Notamacropus eugenii: one gene and its partner. The protein of the gene in region 2 interacts with the protein of the main gene of each other region in a biochemical or structural test. Links are inferred from orthologs where the notes say so. Each region holds a gene or a part of one and is shown on either strand. Other genes may lie near its edges.

Region 1 (10,366 bases), about 1.4 Mb from region 2:
GCTACCCACAGTAAGAATCATGGGATCCTCACATGGAAGGGATGCCCAAAGCACAAACTCCAGCCAATTATCTCCAGCCTCTAAGATGCTGGTATGAGAAGGGATCCAAAGGCTCTGCCCCAATTCCACTCTAATTGTCAGGAAGTGAATCCTGCCTTACATGTCTCCCTCAAAGGGGAGATCTGAGACTACCTCACTTTTCCATTTATGCTTGGCATCTCACAAGCATGTAATAAACACTTTACCTTCATCCCATTTCTGATGTGAAGCTGAAGTAGGCATCCCTGAGATTTCCCACTGCCCCTCGTCCTGTCCTGTAGTCCCTTCCCCATGACAGCTAGTGAGAGGCACTAAATTTCATCCCCTCTTGAGTTCCGTGGCATAGTCTCCAGTCCTGTGACCCTGCTGGGCCTGACTGCTCATCTAGCATAGGTGGAAAGGCTGGGTTTGGAACATCACAGGTGCTGTCAGAAGGGGTCTGCATCAGTTTTGCTAAGCATTTTTTTTCTCTTTTGTTCTTTGTTACTAGAGGTGGCTCATTGGGCCAGGGGTGGCCTACACCTTCACTGAGACATGAAAGTAATGTTAAAAAGTCAATACAAATTTAAAACTAGTTCAAAATAAATGCCCAGGGCTGAGTCCCAGCTAACTGTGACCTGCCCTCTGAGCCCCAGGGAGGCTGTTCTGGGGAACACAAGCTTATCCAAGTTCGCTGAGGAGTGCATTTCCTGAGGGGCTGCTTCTGGGAATGGTCAGAGTTCCTGGGGGCAAGCATGAGCCTTCCCCTTCCCTTCTAGCTTTTTCAGGGGGTGGCACAGAAAGAAAGTTCACATTCTATGGTTTGGATCCAATAAAATGATTTCTCACCTGCTAATTAATTAGCTCTTTGGACATGGAGGTCCTCAGGGAACCAGAAAAAATTTTAGGCCTGAGTCAAAATGTGCTGACTCCTGTTCATTTCACAGAAACATGGAATTTCAGGTTTGGACATGACTGTCTAGACCATATCTGAAAAGGAATCCTCACCACAGCAGACACAGCAAAGGACCTGGAAGCAGGGAAGAGTGGTCACTTTCCCAATAAGTCCCATTCCATTTCTGGACACCTGACAGGAGCGTTTTCTGATGTCCAGCTTGAATTTGCCTTCTGATTCTGAGCTGATGAGTTGAATCATTCCACAATTGTGACTATAGCTACCCCCTCCCCAAGTTTTCTCCGGACTGTGCTGAACCACATCACATGGCTGATCCACTCAACTTGCAACCCCTTAAAAACTCATCCTTTTGATTTTTTTTTAAGTTATACTGAATTCAGTTTTTGGACATGAGTTCATATTTATCCCTACTACATTTTATTTTATTAAATTCAACCCAATGTTCTAGCCTGTTGACATTTTTTTTTTTGGTGTCCTGGGAGGGCACCTACCTGTCAGTTTTCCCTCCCAGCTTCAATTACCAGCACATCTGATAAGCATAGTATCAGCTATTTAAGGCTTTAATAGAAACGTTAAATGTTAGAAAGGAAAACATCCCCAGGTGACCAGGCCCTGATTCTTAACTTAGAACCTTTAATGAGCTTAGCTGTTAACTCAGTTCCAAACCTACTGACTTTTATTATCTTATCATCTAAGCCCACATGCCTCCATCTAATCAAAGGTTTTGCTACAGTCTCCAATTGGTCTCCATAGTGCATTCTGTCTGCCAGGTTTGGTGACCTGGGTCAAAAAGAAAGGAAGTAGCCGTTCTTGACAAAAGGCACACATAGCTTAGCTAAATGCCTCTTGGGAACATGCACTCACTGTTCTTGGGGCAACTCGTCATTCTCTTCCTTTTGGGAGGCAGGGGGAGAACTAGAACGAATGTTTGCCCTTCCTGCCATCCATCCTTACCTCCCGTTGTTCCGCTGGCAGTCTCTACGACCAAAAGATGACGTTCTTCGTTCTTACCCTTGGTATCATTCCCTTTCCATCTGTTTCTTCTTGACTCCCTTCCCTGACGCAAGGATGGCTCGATAGCAAGCATGCTTTTATGGCTTATCTCTCAAGCCTCATTCATTTCTGAGATTTAATGCTGGGACCACTATCTGATGACAGCTATCATGGGCTCCTCAAAACCCCCATCCAAACGTAGGGGCAAGTCCACTTGCCAGGATGGGAAGAGTTGACTGGCCAAGATGGATTGCCCTATGAAGCTAAATGGGAAGACAGATCCCTGACTTTCAAACTATGGACCCCCTTCCACACAGTGCTAGGGTTGGAGTAATAAATTTATGGCTCATAGTAATTTAACTTGCCCAGTCTCACAAAGAATCTCAAGCTTATGAGCAGACACGCTTCTCTCCTTACTCTACGTACAAATTACGGGTAAAGATTCCTGACGTTCCCTTTTCTGTAGGTTCAGTATTTTGGATACCCAGGGACACAGGCGTCATTTCCAGGGCCCTGAAGTTTTCTCATTATTGTGTTGTCCTTCAGATTTGTTCCCAACCTCCAGCTGATCTAGGGTACCTTGTGTTGGTTCCCTCCTCCAACTAAAATTTGCCCTCTCAAAAGCGTTTTCAGAGTCCAGCCTTCTGATGAAGCACATTAAAACTACCAAGTTGCACTTTTACTACAAAATAATTTATTGAGTAAGACAGCACAAGACTCCTATATACACACAAAGTACATGACTACCCAACAACTTAGGGACTTTTCCTCTTTTCCTTGGCTTTCCTGACCTCTTCTATCAAATCCTTCAAATACTGAATCTCTTTGCTAAGGGCATCTGCTTTCTCCTTCAAAGCCTCATTCTTTTGTTCTAGCTCTCTGCACTCCCCAGATAAGGCCTCCTGCTCTGCCCGCTTTTTCTGCCTGTATCTCGTGGCAGCAGTTTTATTCTGTTCCATTTTCTTTAGTTTTTTATCTACCTTTTTCTCTTTCTTGTCCTCAAGGGGACGGTCGTATGGTTTCAGGCGGGCTGAGAGAAATGTGGCATCTGAAGAGAGCTGGCTCTCAGTCAGTAAACCCATGTTAGTGGAGGGGCTATGCTGGGGAGAGCCTAGGTAGGACTCGGGGCTGGTACAGGTCCCAATTCCACTGTCATTATCTGAAGGGGGTTCTTCCTCTTTGATGTCCTTAGGCATCACCCCATAAACAGCTTCTGACTTTCTGTCTCCTTCCAAGACATCCACTTCACTACCTAGTTCTAAACTAAAAGAATGGTCTGGCGTGGAGATCAGGGCCATTACAGAAAAGGGAAAAGACGGATGGGAGGTGAGGGGGGTGACATGATCAGGTTCAAGTAGAGTTTCGGGGAACTGGCCAATTGAACTGACTGTTGAAGGGGAATCTTTGTTAGTAGAGGCCAAGGGGTCAAACAGATCACATGAGTCTTCCAACGTGGCAATGAGCTCAGAGCAGGTGGATTCTAGGTCATCCATACCCAACAAGGCATCGAAATCAAACTCCTTCAGATCCATTTTCTCCACCATCCAATCCATGCCGGAGAAGGCATCCTCTGCAAGACAAAGCAGCCCGTGACCCTGTGAGCGGTGACCAGGTGGGACCACGAGCCGCAGCGAGCAGGGGGGCGGGCAGCCTCCGCCCACGGCCCCGCCCCCCACCCCACTCTTACCCTTGCCGTAGTCTGTGGCGTTGACCACACCATCCACAGCCAGCCAATCGGGAGAGACTGCCTTAGCCTGGTCGCTGGGGAGCCCATGCGATTTGAAGGGCTTGGCCTCCTCCAGGTAGTCATCGAAGGGGCTCAGGCTTTCCTCAACCGCCGAACCCGACTGGCTCAAGGGGGACAGCAAGTCCCCCAACCACAGGTCGCTGTTGAGGAAGCTCATGTCCGTCATGCTGCGGGGCTTTCGTCAGTTGGAGGAAGGCAGAGGAGTCTCGGCTGACAGCAATGCTGCTGCTGGAGGCCTTGGAAAGCCTGCAAGAGCCGGGCGCGAGCCGTGAGACCCCCGCCGCCCATCCCCCTCCCCGAGGGCGGGCGGGGCCCCACTTCCGCCCGCAGTCCATGTACGGCTCGAGGCGCCGCCCCGCCCCCGCCGGCCAGAGTGACTCACGCCCCGCCCCGCGGCCCCCCTCCGACCCCCGCGCGGAAGCGCCGGCCATCTTGTCTCCTTGGAGCGCCCTCCCTGCCACGTTTGGCGCTGGCAGCGCGCCCGCGCCAGCCCCTCCCGTCACAAGAGGGGGCTCGTTCTCCCCCGAAGGGGGGCGGCACGGACGCTTTGCATGGGGGAGGTCGGGACTGCGCACTTTTCCCCCAAAACGGGTTTAGAGACAGACAACAGCGCGACCTGTTTCGTTAGTCCGACACGTACGGAACAGACAGCCAAACCAAGCCCGGGAAGCCCGAGGCCCACCTCCCGCGGCCGCTCCCCCTCCCCCCCACTCACGCCATGGCTTCGCGCTCGAGTTTGCCGCTGCAGAGCCCGGAGCTGCTGCCGCCGCCGCTGCAAGGGCCGATGCTGCCGCAGGCGCTGCCGCCTCTAGAACGCCATGGCGGGCGTCGGGGATGGCGAGGGTCGGGCCGAGCCGAGCAGCACGGGAACCACTGAGTCTCTGCTTGGGCGGGCGTGAAAATGGCGGCCGCGCCGGCCTCCAGCGTCTTATACTGCGCGCTACCAGTGACGCGAGCGGCCTCCCCTGCCTAGGTATTCTTCCGCCGGCGTCACGTGGTCGCTCTCCCGGACCTCCGTCGCTCTATGTCTCTCGGTCCCCTTCTCTTCCTCCAGCTCCGGTCACGATTCTCGGCTGCCAAAGAAAGGGAAGAGACAAATGCCTTTTAAAATCTCCCCCAAACTGGCGGAAGGTCAGGGACTATTTTCACAACTCCCCTCCCTTCTCCCCCCAGCGGATTGCGGAAGAATCCAAGACGCGGTCGCTTCACTCCAGCATCCGGGAACGAGGGCGGGGCTGGGAGTGGCTGGGAGGTAGAGCGTGACAATCTATGCGGCGTTGTTTGCATCAATGTGGAGTCGCGAGGAAACTCAGAAATCGCGCGAGACTCGATGAAGAAAGAGGGGCGTGGGTGAGGCCACAGCGCTGATTGGCCGCAGCGGGATGACTCAACCCCTAGCTCGAGCTCCCATTGGTCCAGAGTCCAACGACTGGCGGGTTTGGAAGAAGGCGGCGGGCGCGGGAAGGGGATGGCGTCGGGCGGGCCGTGGCGGCGGGGAGGGGCCCGACAGGTGGCTGGCGACAGTCACTCCCACCCCCACGCAGTCAGGCCCTGGCTAGTTCTGGGTTCCGGCACCACCGGCAGGCTACCCATGGTCCCTGCAGGCTCTGAGGGCCTGGGGCGGCCTCGAAGCCGGATTTCCCATCCCCCACCCCCTTCTTTCTAAGCTCGGGCCGAAGCCCCGCCCCCTCCGGAGACGGGAGGCTGAGGCCTAGGCTGGCCCGGCTCCCGAATTTATTACGGGGGGGAGGGGGAGAAACTGAGGCCCAGTGACCTCCACGCTACGCGGTCCGAGGTGGCTGGTTCTCCTGACCCCCAAGAAGGGCGGGGCGGCTCACCCCGTCGGGTCGGCCTCTTCTAGTTTGAGGCGCCCCTCCTTCGGGGTGGGGGTGGAGGGACGCTCCTTGCCCCCTTAATGGACTGAATTGGACGTCCTCCCACCAGGCGCTCTTCTACCTCTGGTTGGAAAGATTGATTGATTGATCGATCACATTGGGTGAAAGCGAAGAAAGATCAATGTCCAGGCGCAGGGGCACGGTCCCAAAATACCGGCTTCTCTAGAAGGGCCAAGTGGAGGGCCGCTGGTCTAGACAGCTGACTCGAAAGCATCCCCAGGGGTGGGGGTTGTGACAGACTCCCACCCCCACCCAGTCATTGATTCCAAGGCCAAAAACAGCTGTTGCACTCCAGGGGGGCATTTAAGTTAGACGTGGGGAGAGGGAGGGGTGGTCCTTGTCGGGGTGCACTAGAAGAGCGAGCTTAGGAGGGACAGGTTTTAGGGGGTGTCCCTTTAGAACGAAACCGAGAGGGAAGGGAGGCAGATTCGAAGTTGGTGCCGTCCAAACACCGCAGAGCAGCTCTGGGGACAGAAACGGACAAAAATCCGGGGCCTTCGTGCCCTAACAGAGGGAATCCTCTCTTGGAAGGAGGTTGGGGCGGCTTGGACTGGATGTCCATGGATGGGCTCTTCCAACTCTGGGATTGTGAGCCTAGAATTGCTAAGTTTTCCTTGAGTTGCGCTGAGATCTGCCTCCCTCTCCTCACCCTCTGGCACCAAAACAAATTTGATCTCCCTTCCCCTGGCAGCCCATCACATCTCCTTTTTCTTCCCCCCTCCCTCATCCCTATCCCCTCCTCTTTTTCAGGCTAAACACTCCCTGGTCCTGCCAGCTGATCTTTGTTTGGCATGTAATCCAGTTTGCCAAATGTCCTAGTTTTAGAAACAAACAGGATCCCCCAGGTGTAGGCTGACAGAATGAAAGATGGCAGGACTCCCCTCCCTGGTCTTGAACATGGTGCACCTCTTAAATAAATGCATTGTTTCCAAGAGCTTTTTTAAAGGCAGCTGTGTCTTACTGTTGACTCTTGCTTACAAAAATGCCCATACTGTTTGCACAGCAACTGTCTCGCCATGCCTCTGCCATCCATCCTGCCCTTGTGCAGTTGTCCAAATGTAGGGCCTTAACTTTAATCCCTATTCATTGCAATTCACTAGATTTGTTCTATCATCCAAGGCTGTTGAGGTCTTTGGGGACTCATTCTGTCATTCAGCACGTCAGCTCATTGCTAGCTTTGGCATCTGCTGATATCCAGGTCACAGATAAAAATAATCAGCCTCGGGCCTTAAAAGGGTTAGGGTTACTATTCCCTCCAATTGGATCAGTCATCCCCTTCCAAATCCCCCAAATATAGTCTCACCATTATCTCTCTCCTTTTAGTCCATGAGGATGGTGTGAAGGACTGTCAAAATACTTTCCTGAAAACTAGAGAAATGGTGCCTGAATTCACAGACCCATCTCTTCCATATGTCTCAAACTTTACCAGAAACATGTCAAATTCACCTGCCTAGAGTGTGCAGACTGCCCTCTCTTGGAACAGAGTAAGAAATCAGAGGCTGAGAGAGTAGATGGGATTTACCCAGACCAGGTGTGCAGGCAGGTGAGCACCTACCCTGGATTTCCATTTCTGCTCTGCCACTTGCTACCTATAATCTGGAGCCATCACTTCATTCCTTGGGGGCATCAGTTCTCTCCTCTGAAAAACTGGTCCTAGGCAACCTCTCAGGTCTTCCCCCTCCCCTCAGATTCGGAAAGTATTTTTTTCCACTAGTTAGAAGCAGCATGGAATCTCAGCCAGGAGGTGGGTTCAGATCCCAACACTGACAAGTCACCTTCCTCCTCTGGGTGATCACGTGACCTCCAAGGGTCCTGCCAGCCCTGAATCCTGGAGAATCACTCTACCTTCTCTGGGTCTGTTTGTTGTTGCCCAATGACGTGGGCTCTGATGATTGCAAATCCGGTGAACCAATGGTAGTCACTGTTAAAATGTGTGGGGTGGGGGGAGTGGTTTTAACTAGGTAACCTCAAAGTTCCCCTTTGGTTCAAAAAGCCCATGATCCCTCCTGGCCCATTTCCTAGACCTGCTACCCCTTTATAATATAATACAGTAGCTGACTGTACCTGCCTTCACTTGAGACTGAAAAGAAGTAAGGGAAAGAAACCATGCCAGATCCCCCTTAATTAGGTCTTTATTGAGACTCCACGGATATGTCAAGCCTTAAACTAAGGGTTAGTGCAGATGAGACTGAAGACATTGATCACCCCTTGTATAGTTAAGGGACCTAAGTTCAAATTCTGCCTTTTTGTTTCCTTACAGTGACTAGATATAAAATGGGAGGGGGGGACCTCCATGACCTCAAATCTCTCCCAGCTCTAAATCTTATGAACCAACTTCAACTTGGAAACTGTGTGCTAGAGGGGGAAGGTTAATGGCTCCAGGTACAAATTCTGGCTTTGTCATATCACCTGTGCAGGTAACATTGACTAGTCATCCTCTGGGCCTCCATTTCCTTATGTGTAAAATAAGGACTAAGGTCCCTTCCAGCTCTAAACAATTTGCAGTGGTCTCATATCAGTACTCAAAAGAGGGAGTCGGCTCATTTGGAGTGAAAATGGCAATGGGGGTGGAGGGAATGGAAGGGGCCGAGGATGGCTGCATGCAATGTCCCGATTTCTGTAGTCTATTCATCAGTTTTTCTGGGAAAGAGAAATTTCCATCCCCAATTAGGGAGCAAGTTGGTAGGCAGCTTGGGGGGGAGGGGGCATCTTCTGGTCCTGTTCTGAACTTAGGGTCCAGGGATTTCCTTTGTACATCTGTGGGTTTTATTTGGGTCACTTGTGAGTAATTCTGAGAAAAGGTCCATGCCTAGGAGGTGTTGTTTTTGCACTGGGACATTTCAAGGAAACCATACTTGGTCCAATTCAACATGTGTCTTCCCTCCTTAGAATCCGGGGGTGGGTGTGTGTGTGTGTGTGTGTGTGTGTGTACATGAAGAATAACCACTCTGTATGTAGACACAGAGATTCTGAAACATGGGAACAGGAACCATGTGATCTTTCTGAATTACTGCAAAGTCCTACAAAAATTAATGCTGCACATCGCCAAGTAAAGGGGTTCTCTCCTTGGCTCCCAACACTCCTTACCAAGCCACTTTTTAAGCTGCAAAGGGAAAGGATGGGGACACTACAGTCAACTGCCTGGTCCTGAAGGAAGACCTCCTTGGGTTAAAGGAAAGACCCTCAGATGGGAGATCAGAGGAACCTGCCCTACCCATACCAGTAGCCTCCAGACATGGAGAAAATAGGTTTGATCTACATCAAACACAAAAGTCAAATCTGGTGCAAAGAATGTTTTTATTTTACGTTCCCACTCTTTCAAAGGTCATCAACTCCCTTAGCCTTGATGTTTGAAGGGAGGAGAAAAGACAAGGTGCTGGGCAGGACTGAGTAGAACACTTACCCAGACACCCCCCAACCCCAACCAGCCCAGATGTGTTTGTAGATCAAGGACTGCATATACTGCACTCCACAGAACAAAAGGCAGTTTGTGAGCTTGGTCAGAAGCCCTGCAGGTCACAGGGCAAATGAGCTTCCAGAGATGGTGACCGAGGAGACATTTTCAGCACCCTACGTCCTGCTGTCCTGGTTCTCTGCTCAGCTATCACTAGGTCTTGCAAGGGCTGAATCCTCAGGGCAGAGAAGTGATGGGCATCTGCTTCAAGCTGGGGAAGCCTAGTCTGGCCTGTCCCACTCCCAACCAGGAAAGGAAAGTCAGTCTCTCTAGCAGGCCAATTTTAGGGCCAGGGCCATTGTTTTCCAGCCCCCCTGCCAGGACCCACTGCACCTTTGCTCTCCCCAATGAAGCAGCAGCAAAGGAAGCAAAAGGAGCAGGTAAGGGGACTAGTGGAGATGGTGGCCAACCCTTTCATCAGGAGCATGGACTTAGAAAGTACTAGTTACTTCTTTCCTTTAATGATAAAAATGCCTCAAACAAACATGGGTTGGGGGGAAATGCCCACTATTACCCTAAATTTCTGGGGGTTAGGCCAAGGCAGAACCCCAAAACCTCATTGATTTGGGTTTCTGAGACATGAAGTCAGGTCAAATAAACTCGTTCAAGAGGAGAGGTGCTTGTGCCAGCCAAGAACTTTTCCAGGATCAGCTGTTACTGCAAACAGAGCCGATGTGGGGGCTTGCTGAAGGGAAAGCAGTACCTTGGCCCCCCTCAACCTGGAATTCTTCTACCCTCCCCTTCATCAGTCAATAGCTTTGTGTCCAATAGAACCATTACCCAAAGACTTTCTTTTTGATCCTATGGGCTATTACCTGACTGTACGGCAAGATCATCTTGTCTGAATCTGAAGATATATTGGAATAATTCTTCCTAAATGGATGAAGCGGTTCACATTCACACACACTTTTCCCCTCTTGAGAAATGCCTTTACTTCACCAGAGACCCTGGGACCTGATTTTACTGGTTTGGTTTGTTTTTGAAGCTTTGTATTTAATACTGAGGTGCTACTAATGTACAGCTGATTTGGAGACACAGGCTAGAGGGGAAACTGGAGACTTCAAATACCTTATTGGGTGGATCTTTCCAGTCCCCTGAGGAAGGTGCATTCTCATCCTTCCCATCGCTCAGAAGCAATCAGAATCCCACACAGACATCTTTCCAACTCCTCCCCCTCCAAAAAGTCAAAGCACCCACTCTTCTCAGTAGGCAATGAAGGGTAAGAGGTGGGGATTCTGGGAAGGGGCCCCTAGAACTTCACTTCCTAGACTGTGACAAATATACAAATTCAGGAGGATGCTGAGGACCTGGTGTCATGTGGAACATTTTACCCCAAGTACAAG
Region 2 (10,643 bases):
GGAGGACCTAGAGGGTCAGATGAGGCCTCCAGGCCCCAGGTTCCCCACCCCTGCATCCATCCTCCCCTTGTGCTAACATGACTTTTCTCAAGTGTAGATCTGTCTGACTATGTCCTCTTCCCCCATATCTTCCTCTTCTCACACTTGATATATTCCAGTGATTCCCTCTGACCTCCATGATCAAATATAAAGTCTTCTCTTTAGTTTTAAAGCTCTTCGTAACCTGACCTCTTCCTCTGCTGTTACCTTACACGTGGTTCCTACTCCATGAAATCCCACCAGCCAGCCATATTGCCTTGTTGTTCCTTTCACTTGATACCTCATCTCCCACCTCTGCACTTTTGTACTGGCTGTCCCCTCCACTTGGTATGCTTTGCCCTCTCACTTTCACCTTTTAAGTTTCTCTGGCATGTTTCAAAGCTCAGTTCAAAATGCACTCTCTGCAGGGGACCCTTTCTCATCCTCCACTCTCCCCCCTCCTCACCCCCCAGTCCTTTCTAATTTCTCTTCATCTAATCTGTATACATGATGAATATACCTATATACCTAGTTATGTACGTATTGTCTCCTGCCTTGGAATGTGATCTTCTTGAAGGCAGGTTCCATATTTTTATCTTAGTATCCCTAAAATTTAACAGAGTGCCTGGCATGCAGTAGGCACTTAACACATCAATATGACTGATTTATACCATTTCCTGAATGTGCCATTTCATCTTCCAACTCCTTAGCTTTGCCCAAGCTGTCCCTCCTGCCCAGAATGCCCTCCCTCATTACCTCTGCCTCTTAGAGGCTCAGTTCAACAGCCTCCAGTTACCTGAGACCTTTTCTGATCTCCTCAATCACTGCAATTATTTTTTAGTTACTCTATTTATCTGTGTTCAAGTTGTTTTCCCCAACAGAAAACTTGTTTTGGTTTTGTTTTTTGTAGCCCATAGGGCCTAGCACCTAGCCTTTTAAAAAAATTGTAAGATCATAGGTCTTGATTAGTGCTGTAGAGGAATTCCAGACAAGTGGCCATATTATTTGAATTCATATTTCATATTTTCATTAGGCTTCAACCAATGACCATATTTTACATGACCATAACTTCCAACTGGTGGGTCACCCCAAGGATACTTCTGTCCCATTCTGTCTACTTGCCACATAAGCACAGCCAACACCAGGTCTCTATGTGTGATTTAGCGAGTCAAGAGATCTGAGTAGAAATGTTCAAATGGGCTGAAACCGTCATAAAGAAGTAATTGCAAACCACACTGACAGTAACTTTTCAATGTGGAGAGTTTATGCATGAGGTGGGGGGAAGGGGAAATAGGATGGCTGAGAAGCAGAAACCCTGCTGGTTACAGTTTGAATGGAAAGAAGCAGCTTTGTACAGAGCAAGAGCAGGGACAGAAAAGCAACTTGGTAAATGGTAAGCAACTTGGCTTTGTGGTTGGACTCAATTACTGTTTATTTTTTTTAAATGAGACAATCAGGGTCAAGTGACTTGTACAGGGTCATACAGTCAGTGTTTGAGGCCACATTTGAACTCAGGTACTCCTGATTCCAGGCCTGGTGCTCTATCCACTGTACCACCTAGCTGCCCCTGAATTGCTGTTTTAAAACTTACCAGGGGGGCGACCTTGGGGCAAGTCAATGCCCCTTTGTGGGCCTCAGTTTCCTCCTCTGTAAAATGAGGGAGTTGGGCCTGATGGTCTTCTCCTAAATTTTATGATCTTATGGCCCAAAGTTTAGAAATGTCAGGCTTCTCTGGAGTCCTGAAACTCCCAGGGGAGCAGAGCAGTAAATCCAGGGGGAAGGGTTAGAAATGAGGACTTTTTTTTTCTTTAACCACTGTTCTGATGTCATCTCAGTGAAACAAATTCCTTGCTTTTCCTTCTTACCACTGTCTACCTGCTCCTTCCCTAGGGGAGATATGTGGAGGGAGTGGGGCCTGGAGTTGGAAGGGACACTTACTGGCCCAATGACCCTGGGCAAGTCACTCAGTTTTTTCAGCTGCAGACTGGGGACAAAATAGCACCTCCCTCACCAGGTTGTTGTGAGGATCGTATGAGAGAACTGGAAGGCACTGAGCACACTGCCTGGTACGTAGTAGGTGCTCTATATCCTAGTCATTACTATTTTCTTCCCTTTGCAGGAAAAGAACTTGTGTAATAGAAAGAGCCTCGGATTTGGATCAGAGGAACTGGGTTCTAATCCCAATGCTTTCTCAATAGCTATGTGATCTTGGCCAAATCCTCTCCTACTTCAAGGCCTTAGCTTCCTGAATAGATCATTCAGCAAGAATTTATTAAGTGATTGCTAAGTGCTAGTCAGTCAGGGCAGTTACCAGGGCAGCTAGCTGATACAGTGGCTAGAGCGCCAGGCCTGATGTCAGGAAGTTCAAACTTCCCTGAGTTCAAATCAGGTCTCAGACACTTAACTAGCTGTGTGACTCTGGGCAAGACATTTCACTCTGTTTGCCTCAGTTTCCTCATCTGTAAAATTGAGCTGGAGAAGGAAATGGCAAACCACTCCAGTATCTCTTGCCAGGAAAACCCCAAATGGGGTCAGGAAGAGTCTGATAGGACTGAAACAACTGAACAACATGTTCCAGGACCAACACTTAGTTCTCAGGAGGTGAGTGGGTGGGGAAGACAACAAGCAAATATGTACAAACTATATACAAGATAAATAGGAAATAATTAAGAGAGGGAAGGCATTGGAATGAAGAGGGGTTGGGGAAAGCTTCCTGAAGAACTGGGAACTGAGGTGGGGCTTAAAGAAAGCCAGGAAATGTTATTAAAGGAGGCAAGAAAATGTTCTTCTTAGAGAAGGCCCCAACCAGCAGCTGTAAAATACATAGTCTGAGATTTCTATTTTCTCTGCATACTGAATTTATGTCCATTATATCAATTTATATCCATTATATCATTTGAACCTCCTGAGCACCTAGTGAAGCAGGTATGAATGCAGGTATGAATGAAAAACATTTATCCTGTGCTCAGTATGTGCTAATCAATGGGGTTACAAACACAGGCACTTTAAAGTTTTATTTTAGACATTTTACAGAGGAGGAGACTGAGACAAAGAGCAATTTGCTCATGAGTACACAACTAAGAGATGACAGGGACAAAATTTAAACTTTGGTTTATCCAGAATCTAAGTTCCAGGCTCTTTTCATTGTCGGAGGCCATGTGGACAATCCTAGGATTCCATACTTTGGAGGCAGGAGGTCCTCTCAGCCTAGTGATTGCAAAGAATCAGAGGCAGAAGGGTCTCCAGGGGCCCTCTTGGTCAAATCTCTGAATCGAATCCCCTCCCTCTATCACACACCTGACAGGTGGTCATACCGACTTTGATTAAAGACCTAAAACCAAGGGAGGAGGGGAAGCCCACTATCTTCTCTTTAACCTCCATTTTGTAGAACAGGAAACAGGGATCATAGAAAGCTGGAGGGACCTTCCAAAACCACCTAGTCCAACACCCTCAAGTTTGGGTTTTTGTGAGACTGGAGGAGATATGCGCAGGGGTCATATAAGTATTAAGTGCCAGGGGAAGGCTTTGATTTCTTGTCCTCTGACTCTCGTTTGTACCAAGGGGATGATGACTTGCCAAGCTCTCTCAAACAGTAACAGCTTCAGCTTAGGTCCTCTGCCTGGATCCCAGTCCATACTTACAAAGATTCTATTTGTAAAGTATTAGAACAGCGCATGGCACATAGTAGGCTCTAATAAATGCTTGTTCCTTCGGCCCCCTGCCGCTCCCTCCATCCAAGGAAGGGTGTCAAAACCAAGGGTTCTTCATGCTGTTTATGTCCCTTCTCCGAGTCATGTCATTCAGTGAATAAAATAAAACATAGAGGAGTGTAACTGAAGTGCTGTGATCACGGATGGCAAGTTAAGAGTCTCAGATAATCCACGTCAAATGGAAAAACAGGGGTGGGTCTGGGGGAGGGGGAGGAAAGTGCATTAGGCTCCGGCTGCAGCGGATCCAGGTTCCGTACTACCAGCGGGGCTTTGGGCTATCACAAACCGCTCCCCTGCCCGTGCCTCAGTTTCCTGCTCTGTAAAAGGAGCGGCACGGAGGCAGTCAGTCGGCGCGATCTCTTCCAGCTCTATTTACCAGTAACCCTCCCAAAGTGCTGCGGCCCTCCGTGCCCACCTCGGCCCCGAGGCTGGCGCACTGGCTCGAGTCTCGGCTTTTCCTAGGGGCAACACCTGCCGGACCAGGGCGGGGTTGGCCGGAGTGGCCTGCGGGGGGCGGGCGGGCGCTTCCGATTAATTACATGTCATTCTTTCTTTATTAATCAGGCCTGGGGGTGGGGGCGGCAGGAGCCAGGAATAGGGGTCTGCTAGGTGGGAGGGGGTGGAGGACGGACAGGGGCGCATTAGGAGGCAACCCCCTGCGCAGTGCCTGGGCTCATTTCAGGGCGTAGCACCTTCCTCTCCTCTCTCCCAGCGGAGGCCAGCGCCAGCAACTCCCGCGCCGTCCTTACCCTCCGACTTTAAATTCCTCCTTACCCCCCCCCCCCTTCCGCTCCTCCCCTTTAAGAATGACGCTCGCTTGGGGAGTTTGCGGAAGCCCCCTGCGCGTTGTCGACGGGCGGGCGGGGGGAAGGCGAGGAGGGGGCGGTCCCGGGCTCGGCCAGTGCCCCGCCTCCTGCGGCCTTCTCGGTGCCCATTGTGCGAGCCTATCCGAGGGGGGGCAGGCCCCGCCCCTTCTCCTCGGGTTCCCTCCCCCCGCCGCCGTCCGTCCGTCCGCCTCCGGCCCCGCCCCCTGCCCCCCTCCCCCTTGGCTCATTTCCGGCCCCCGCCGTCGCTACTGCTGCTGCTGCCCCGGCCGCCGCCGCCGCTGCCGCCGCCGCTGCTGCTGCTGCTGCTGCTGCCGCCGCCGCCGCCGCCGCCGCCGCCGCCGCCGCCGCCGGCGCTCGCCTGGGAGCAGGAGGAGCAGGAGGAGGCGGAGGCGGAGGAGGAGGGCTGGGGGAGGAGGAAGAGGAGGAGGAAGAGGGAGGACTAGGCCGAGCGGAGCGGACGGAGAAGAGCGGAGCGCAGCCGAAGCGAGCGCAGCCGAGCGCAGCCGAGCCGAGGCGGCCGAGCCGAGCCGAGCCGAGCCGAGCGCGGCCGAGGCGAGGCGGGGCCCGGGCCGAGCCGAGCGGGCGCCGCGCAGCGCAGCCGGAGCCGCGCAGCCGAGCGCCGCGCCGCGGACGAACAACAGCCGCCATTTTGTTTGGGTGCGCGGCCCGGCCCCGGAGGAGGCGGAGGCGAGGCCCAGGCCGAGGAGGAGGCGGAGGCGGGCGGAGGAGGCCCCGCGGCGCGGCCCGGCCCGAGCCGCCGCCGCCGCCGGAGAGGCAGCAGCAGCGGCGGCAGCGGCAGCACGATGTGAGGCGGCGGCCCGGCCCGACCCGACCCCCGGCGACGAGCCCCCGGGCCGGCGATGAAGACGGCGACGAGGCCGCGGCCCATGGCGCCCCGCAGGCCCCAGCCCCGCCAGCGCCCCGACGAGCGGCCGGGAGCCGCGCCGGCCCCGCCACTAGGGGGGGAGCGTGCGTGAGCGTGAGCGTGCGTGGGAGCCAGTGTGAGTGTGCGTGAGTGTGCCCGCCGGAGCCGGAGCGAGCGAGCGAGCGAGCGAGCGAGAGCCAGAGAGCGAGCGAGCGCCGAGCGGAGCGGAGCCGAGCCCAGCCCAGCGGAGCCCGCGGCCCGCAGCCCGCAGCCATGGCCGAGAACGTGGTGGAGCCCGGGCCGCCCGCCCCCAAGCGGCCCAAGCTCGCGTCCCCGGCCCTCTCTGTGGCCGCCAGCGATGGCACAGGTCAGTCCGGTCGGCCCCAGGTGCGCGGCCCCTGCCGGGGTGGGGAGGTGGGGGGGTTGGGGGGGTGGGCCCCCAATGGCCCGGGAAGCTGCGTCTCCTGGCCGGGCTGCGGGAGCCCGTCGCCTTCCGGGCCCTGAGTCTCCCTCGCCCCCCCACCCCCAGCGCCCGCACGGCTGGTTTTCCTCCCCACTTCCTACTTTTTCCTCCCTTCCCCTTCTTTCCTGGATCTGGGCTGAAATGGTCCCTGCCTCCTTGAGTATTTTCGCTGTGGACCTTGAGTCTCCGAGGCTGGACGTGCGGGGCGTCTTCGCCTTCCCCTTGCCCCGTAATCCTCGGTTCGGGTTTTTTGCCACTGGCGTTCGGAATCAATATGGAGTATGCACGGGCCGAGCTTGCTCTGCATCTCCCGTGGCTTCGCTTGCTCAGACCAAAATGTCTGAAGCTCCTTTAGGCTCAGCAGGTTGAGGAAGAGCGAGGACAAGGGTTAGTTTGGCTTTTTTCGGGGGGGCGGGTGGACCTGCTGGCTCTAGACTGTCTTCTATCGGCTTTTTTGGGTTTGGGGAGCGACGTACAGATTTAGGGAGCGGGGGCCCCGAAAGGCAGGCTGGAAGTTGAAGGCGAAGCTGCGGGTTTCCCAGGATCCAAGAAACCACGAACTGGTTGCACTGGAACTTAGTTGGCAAGGAGTGGTTTAGATTTTTTGGATGCTTCGACTCGGTTCAAGATGCCTAGTTCAGGTTTTTAGCATTCGCAGTTCTCGGTGTTTCACTCTGTTTTGGGCTCGGCGTGGTTTGTGTGTCGATAGAGACATTCGGAGACCCTCTTGCCGTCTCCCACCCTGATGGCCACCGGTCTCCTTGTTCCTTGTTGTGTAGTTGGAGCTGCCAGGAAAATGAAGAGGAAAAATGGCTGGCCATCTGACAGTAAGGGAGACCTTGTTGCTCCCGCCGTGAAGGGTCGGTCTCGATCAGGCGCTAGTTTGGGAACATCTGAAACAGCTCGATGGGAATAGATGGACACAGTGCATCGTGTCCGCCAAGATGGAAGGATGGGCGTTTATTTTGCTAAATGACTTTAAAATCCTCAAGTTTGGAGAGAATTTTACCTAGCCTTTTGGGATATAGACACCATTTTACAGTGGGAGAATGGGAATTTGACAAATGCTTGAGATGGGGTTAATAGGAGTGTAGGAGAACTTTGATATTGGGCATTGGTTTTAAAGGTTAAGACTGGGTTCGTTGCATCTGAAGAACCTTCTCTCCGATGGTATTCAAAAGGAGGAGGGGATTATAAAGGAGGTACACTGCTGTTCTTAAACATGTATTTTTCCATTCTTGAAAGGCATTCCAAATTTGATTCTTGAATTGCGGATCTACCAAGTTCATTTAAAAAACAGTGGAGCATGTATGAACCCTAGAATACATGTGGATATCACTATGTAGATGTGCCTTTGTTAATAATAGGGCCTGATTTACAAATCATTTACTTTGAAATTTGGGTATGTTGGTGAGCACAGACCTCCTGGGAAGATATTTTGGTTTCTTCATACATTTTACAGATGAGAAAGAATTTTAGGTAAATAATTTCTCTAAAAAATATGTATTCACAAGAATCCAAGTTCTTAATTTTTGCAGGTTAGAATGCTAATCTCCAATAAGCTAATTCTAGTTATGAATAGAAATGGTTTATTCAGGTGCCTACTCTGTGCCAAGCCACTTATCCTGGGGGAGTGGGGGTGCTTTAACTTTGATTCACTTCTTACTACTTGAAATTTTCTTATTTTACACAGTAATTGGCATCCTTAATAGTGGCTACCTGAATGTTTCAGTTGACTTTCAGGAGCTCACTAAAGACGTAACTTTCATCTGTTGAATTGTCTGTCTCGATCTAACTTCACTAAATAACTTTTTAAGTGATTTCCTTATTCAATTTTAGTTATGGTGTAAAAGATTTTAGAAACTTGCTCATAGTGATCCCTGGTTTAGAAAGGTCCAACAAATGGTTTCCTTCTGAATTTTTTTTTGTTGGCTAATTTTGACTGGCAAGCTTAGCCTTGGAGTGCTGAGAGTACAGAACTTTGGAGTTCTCCCTCTTGTAATGTGGGAGTGAAGTAAGTACCTGGCCTCTTTTTTTCAGGATTTTAGTCTATAGACTGGATATTATCTAATTTCCCCCTGTCTATTTTTGACATGCAAACTATATTGCCACTTTTGATCCCTTTGGATGATTGAGAGAATTCTAAATGTGTTCACGAGTTATTTTTATAAATTTTGTTGACTCAATATTTGAATAAATATCTTTGCTCATCATATGAGGTTTTCATTTTGCTCCACTTGCTTCGTCTTTCTCTAGTTTTGACCTTAAGATGTGTTTCTCACCTCCCCCAGCCACCCTCTTGAGGAGTAAGAGGTCTTTGCTAATATTTTAACTTTGCTAAAATTTTGTCTTTTAAGAAAGGAAGCTTGTAAGTTTGACATAACATAATTCATAAAATAAATCCTTTTGCATTTTAATATCCAGTGTTTTCCAACTTACAGGTAGTTTTCAATACTTTGGCAACCAACGTCTTTTTTTAGCTTTGGCCTTTTTCTAACTTCAAATTCTATATTTCAACTTTAGAAGAAATGAGTCACCTGTGTTGGTGATAATTTACAAACTAAAACTGTTCACTGTGCTGAGAATTGCTTTGGAGACATAATTGCCAGTGGCATTGCAGATGGATTTGAGTGGAGCCTAATGCCAGGAAATTTTTTCTTTTTTGATAATTCAGTTCCCTTGTTAAAAAGTGTGCCTTTGTAGTAACCTACTGTCCAGGAATTTTGACAGGCAAGTGAAAATGATAATAGATTAAGAAACTGAAAGCCCAGGTTGGTTCCTTGATTTGCCGAAGGTCAAAGCATGTGCAATGGCCCAGCCCGGGTTAAATGGCTTAGCCTTTGAATGAGACTGTCCCAGATGTGTATCAGCACAGTTAGTACTAGGAGCATAGTATGGCCTTAGTATGGTTCCAGGTCTTCTTTTTAGCTGAAGTTTGTCCAAGAGCTTGTTTTTCCCTGCTTGATTTGAGTGACTTATATCAGTTGCTTTTTTAGAACTGAGAGAATGTTAGACTTCTACTTGAACATCGTGGCTTGGAACCAACGGGAACTTGCTTCAAGTTAGTGCTGGACTTGGAGGTAAACAGGTGAGAAAGTGAATTTAGGCCCCAGTAATAATTTTTGGATGGAAGGCTTTCTTGACAGAGTTACTGAAATGACCGATATTAGTGCTTAAAAAATAACTAAAATCTACCGTCAAGTTCAAGTACACGTATCTCTTGAAAAACCATTACAACAGAGCCTTTTCCGTAGGCTTAAATTTATTCTAAATGGTATTCATAACTCATCAGATATAGAGAGAACATACAGATTGATTGTAGAACCTAAAAGTTTGAACTTCCTACTGAAATCTAGGAAACCCCACTCTGACCCTCTTGACTGATGGTGGGTGCTGATTGATCCAATGCCACACAAGTCACAGATTAGGGAAGTCTGACCATGATTTTAGAGGAGCTTTGAATGAAGAGAAGATTTAGAGATGGAATATTGAGCTGCAGGGATCACTCACCATTTTAAAAGAATATCAAAGCTTTTGGAAAGCTCTGATGGTATCAGTTGACTTTGTACAGTTTTCATGTTTGGATTTCATATGCATGTATTTGTTGTGCAGAAGGAGTACTTCATGCCTCGCTAGTGTAGATCAACATAGATAATGCTTGTCTTGGATTAAAGAAAGGTGGCACTTGCATTAAAGGAGACACTGGAGTTGATTGAACTGGGAGTTAGATGAGTTGGTCAGATCTGCATTTTGGAAGGATCTATCTGGCAGCTGAGGGGGATAGGGATTGGAGTGGGGTTTTCATCAAGAGAGAAGAGGGCTAAGTGGTGATGTGACAAAGATTGTGGATAGGAGGGTGGCCCCTCTACCCTGGGAGGGAAGTTAGGGTGGGGTGGGAAGATAATGAGTTGGTTAATGTCTGTTTTGGACTCATTAAATTTGTCTGCAGTGCATCCAATCCAAGATGTATGATAGGTAGTTGGAGCTGCAGGACTGGAAGTAGAAGAGAGGTTGGTGCTGGATAAGTAGATTTGGGAATCATGGATGTAGAGGGAATAAATGCATCCAGGGGAGCTGACAGTTCACCAAGAGAAATTGTATAAAAAGGAAGGAAAAGATGGGGGGGCACACTTATGGTGAGTGGGTGTGATCTGGATGAAGATCCACCAAAGAAAACTGAGAAAGGAGGGATCTTACTGGTAGGAAGAGAACCAGAAGGAGGTCAGTCACAAAAGACCCAAGGTGTCAAGAAGAGGAGGATCCACAGTATCAGGGGCTGAAGGGACATCAGGAAGGATGAGGACTGAGAAAAGGCCACTAGATAGGGCGATCTGAAGCCTGACTGCAGAGCTGAGAAGAAAACAAGAGGAAAGAAAGTGGAGGCATTGGTTACTCAGTGTAGACTTCTCAAGAAATCCCTGCAATTCAGTCTCTGGAACTGGAGGAGAGTTACTAGGTATAGTTAAGTGAGGGTAGATCCTCAGGTGAAAGGGAGATCTGTAGGGGTTGTAGGCAATGGGGGAGCAGTTAGCACATAGGGAGAGACTGAAGATTATTGGGAGAGAAGGGGCAATCTGTTGGAGAAAGTGGATGAAATGGAATCACTAATGCCTTGACAAGGAGAAGATATTGAGAAACACATTTGTTGGTGACTTGGGCAGCTAATAATAGATAGTATTTGTATAGATTCTTAAGGTTTACAAAGCATTTTTAAGTATGATCTCATTTGATCCTCGCAACAACCTTGTAAGGTAGGTGCT

The links.
Region 1: the proteins of EP300 (region 2) and ATF4 form a complex in vitro, tested with the Homo sapiens proteins (3 studies listed by BioGRID). The link is inferred for Notamacropus eugenii from reciprocal best matches to the Homo sapiens genes EP300 and ATF4.

Annotation. Positions count from the first base shown.
Region 1 is NC_092874.1:298,749,069-298,759,434, reverse strand, and holds ATF4 (cyclic AMP-dependent transcription factor ATF-4), read right to left. Parts: upstream 4,528-10,366; 5' UTR 4,390-4,527; intron 3,921-4,389; 5' UTR 3,841-3,920; coding exon 3,615-3,840; intron 3,498-3,614; coding exon 2,683-3,497; 3' UTR 2,599-2,682; downstream 1-2,598. UniProt on the Homo sapiens protein: Transcription factor that binds the cAMP response element (CRE) (consensus: 5'-GTGACGT[AC][AG]-3') and displays two biological functions, as regulator of metabolic and redox processes under normal cellular conditions, and as master transcription factor during integrated stress response (ISR).
Region 2 is NC_092874.1:300,163,465-300,174,107, forward strand, and holds the start of EP300 (histone acetyltransferase p300), read left to right. Parts: upstream 1-5,516; 5' UTR 5,517-5,693; coding exon 5,694-5,787; intron 5,788-10,643. UniProt on the Homo sapiens protein: Functions as a histone acetyltransferase and regulates transcription via chromatin remodeling. Acetylates all four core histones in nucleosomes. Histone acetylation gives an epigenetic tag for transcriptional activation.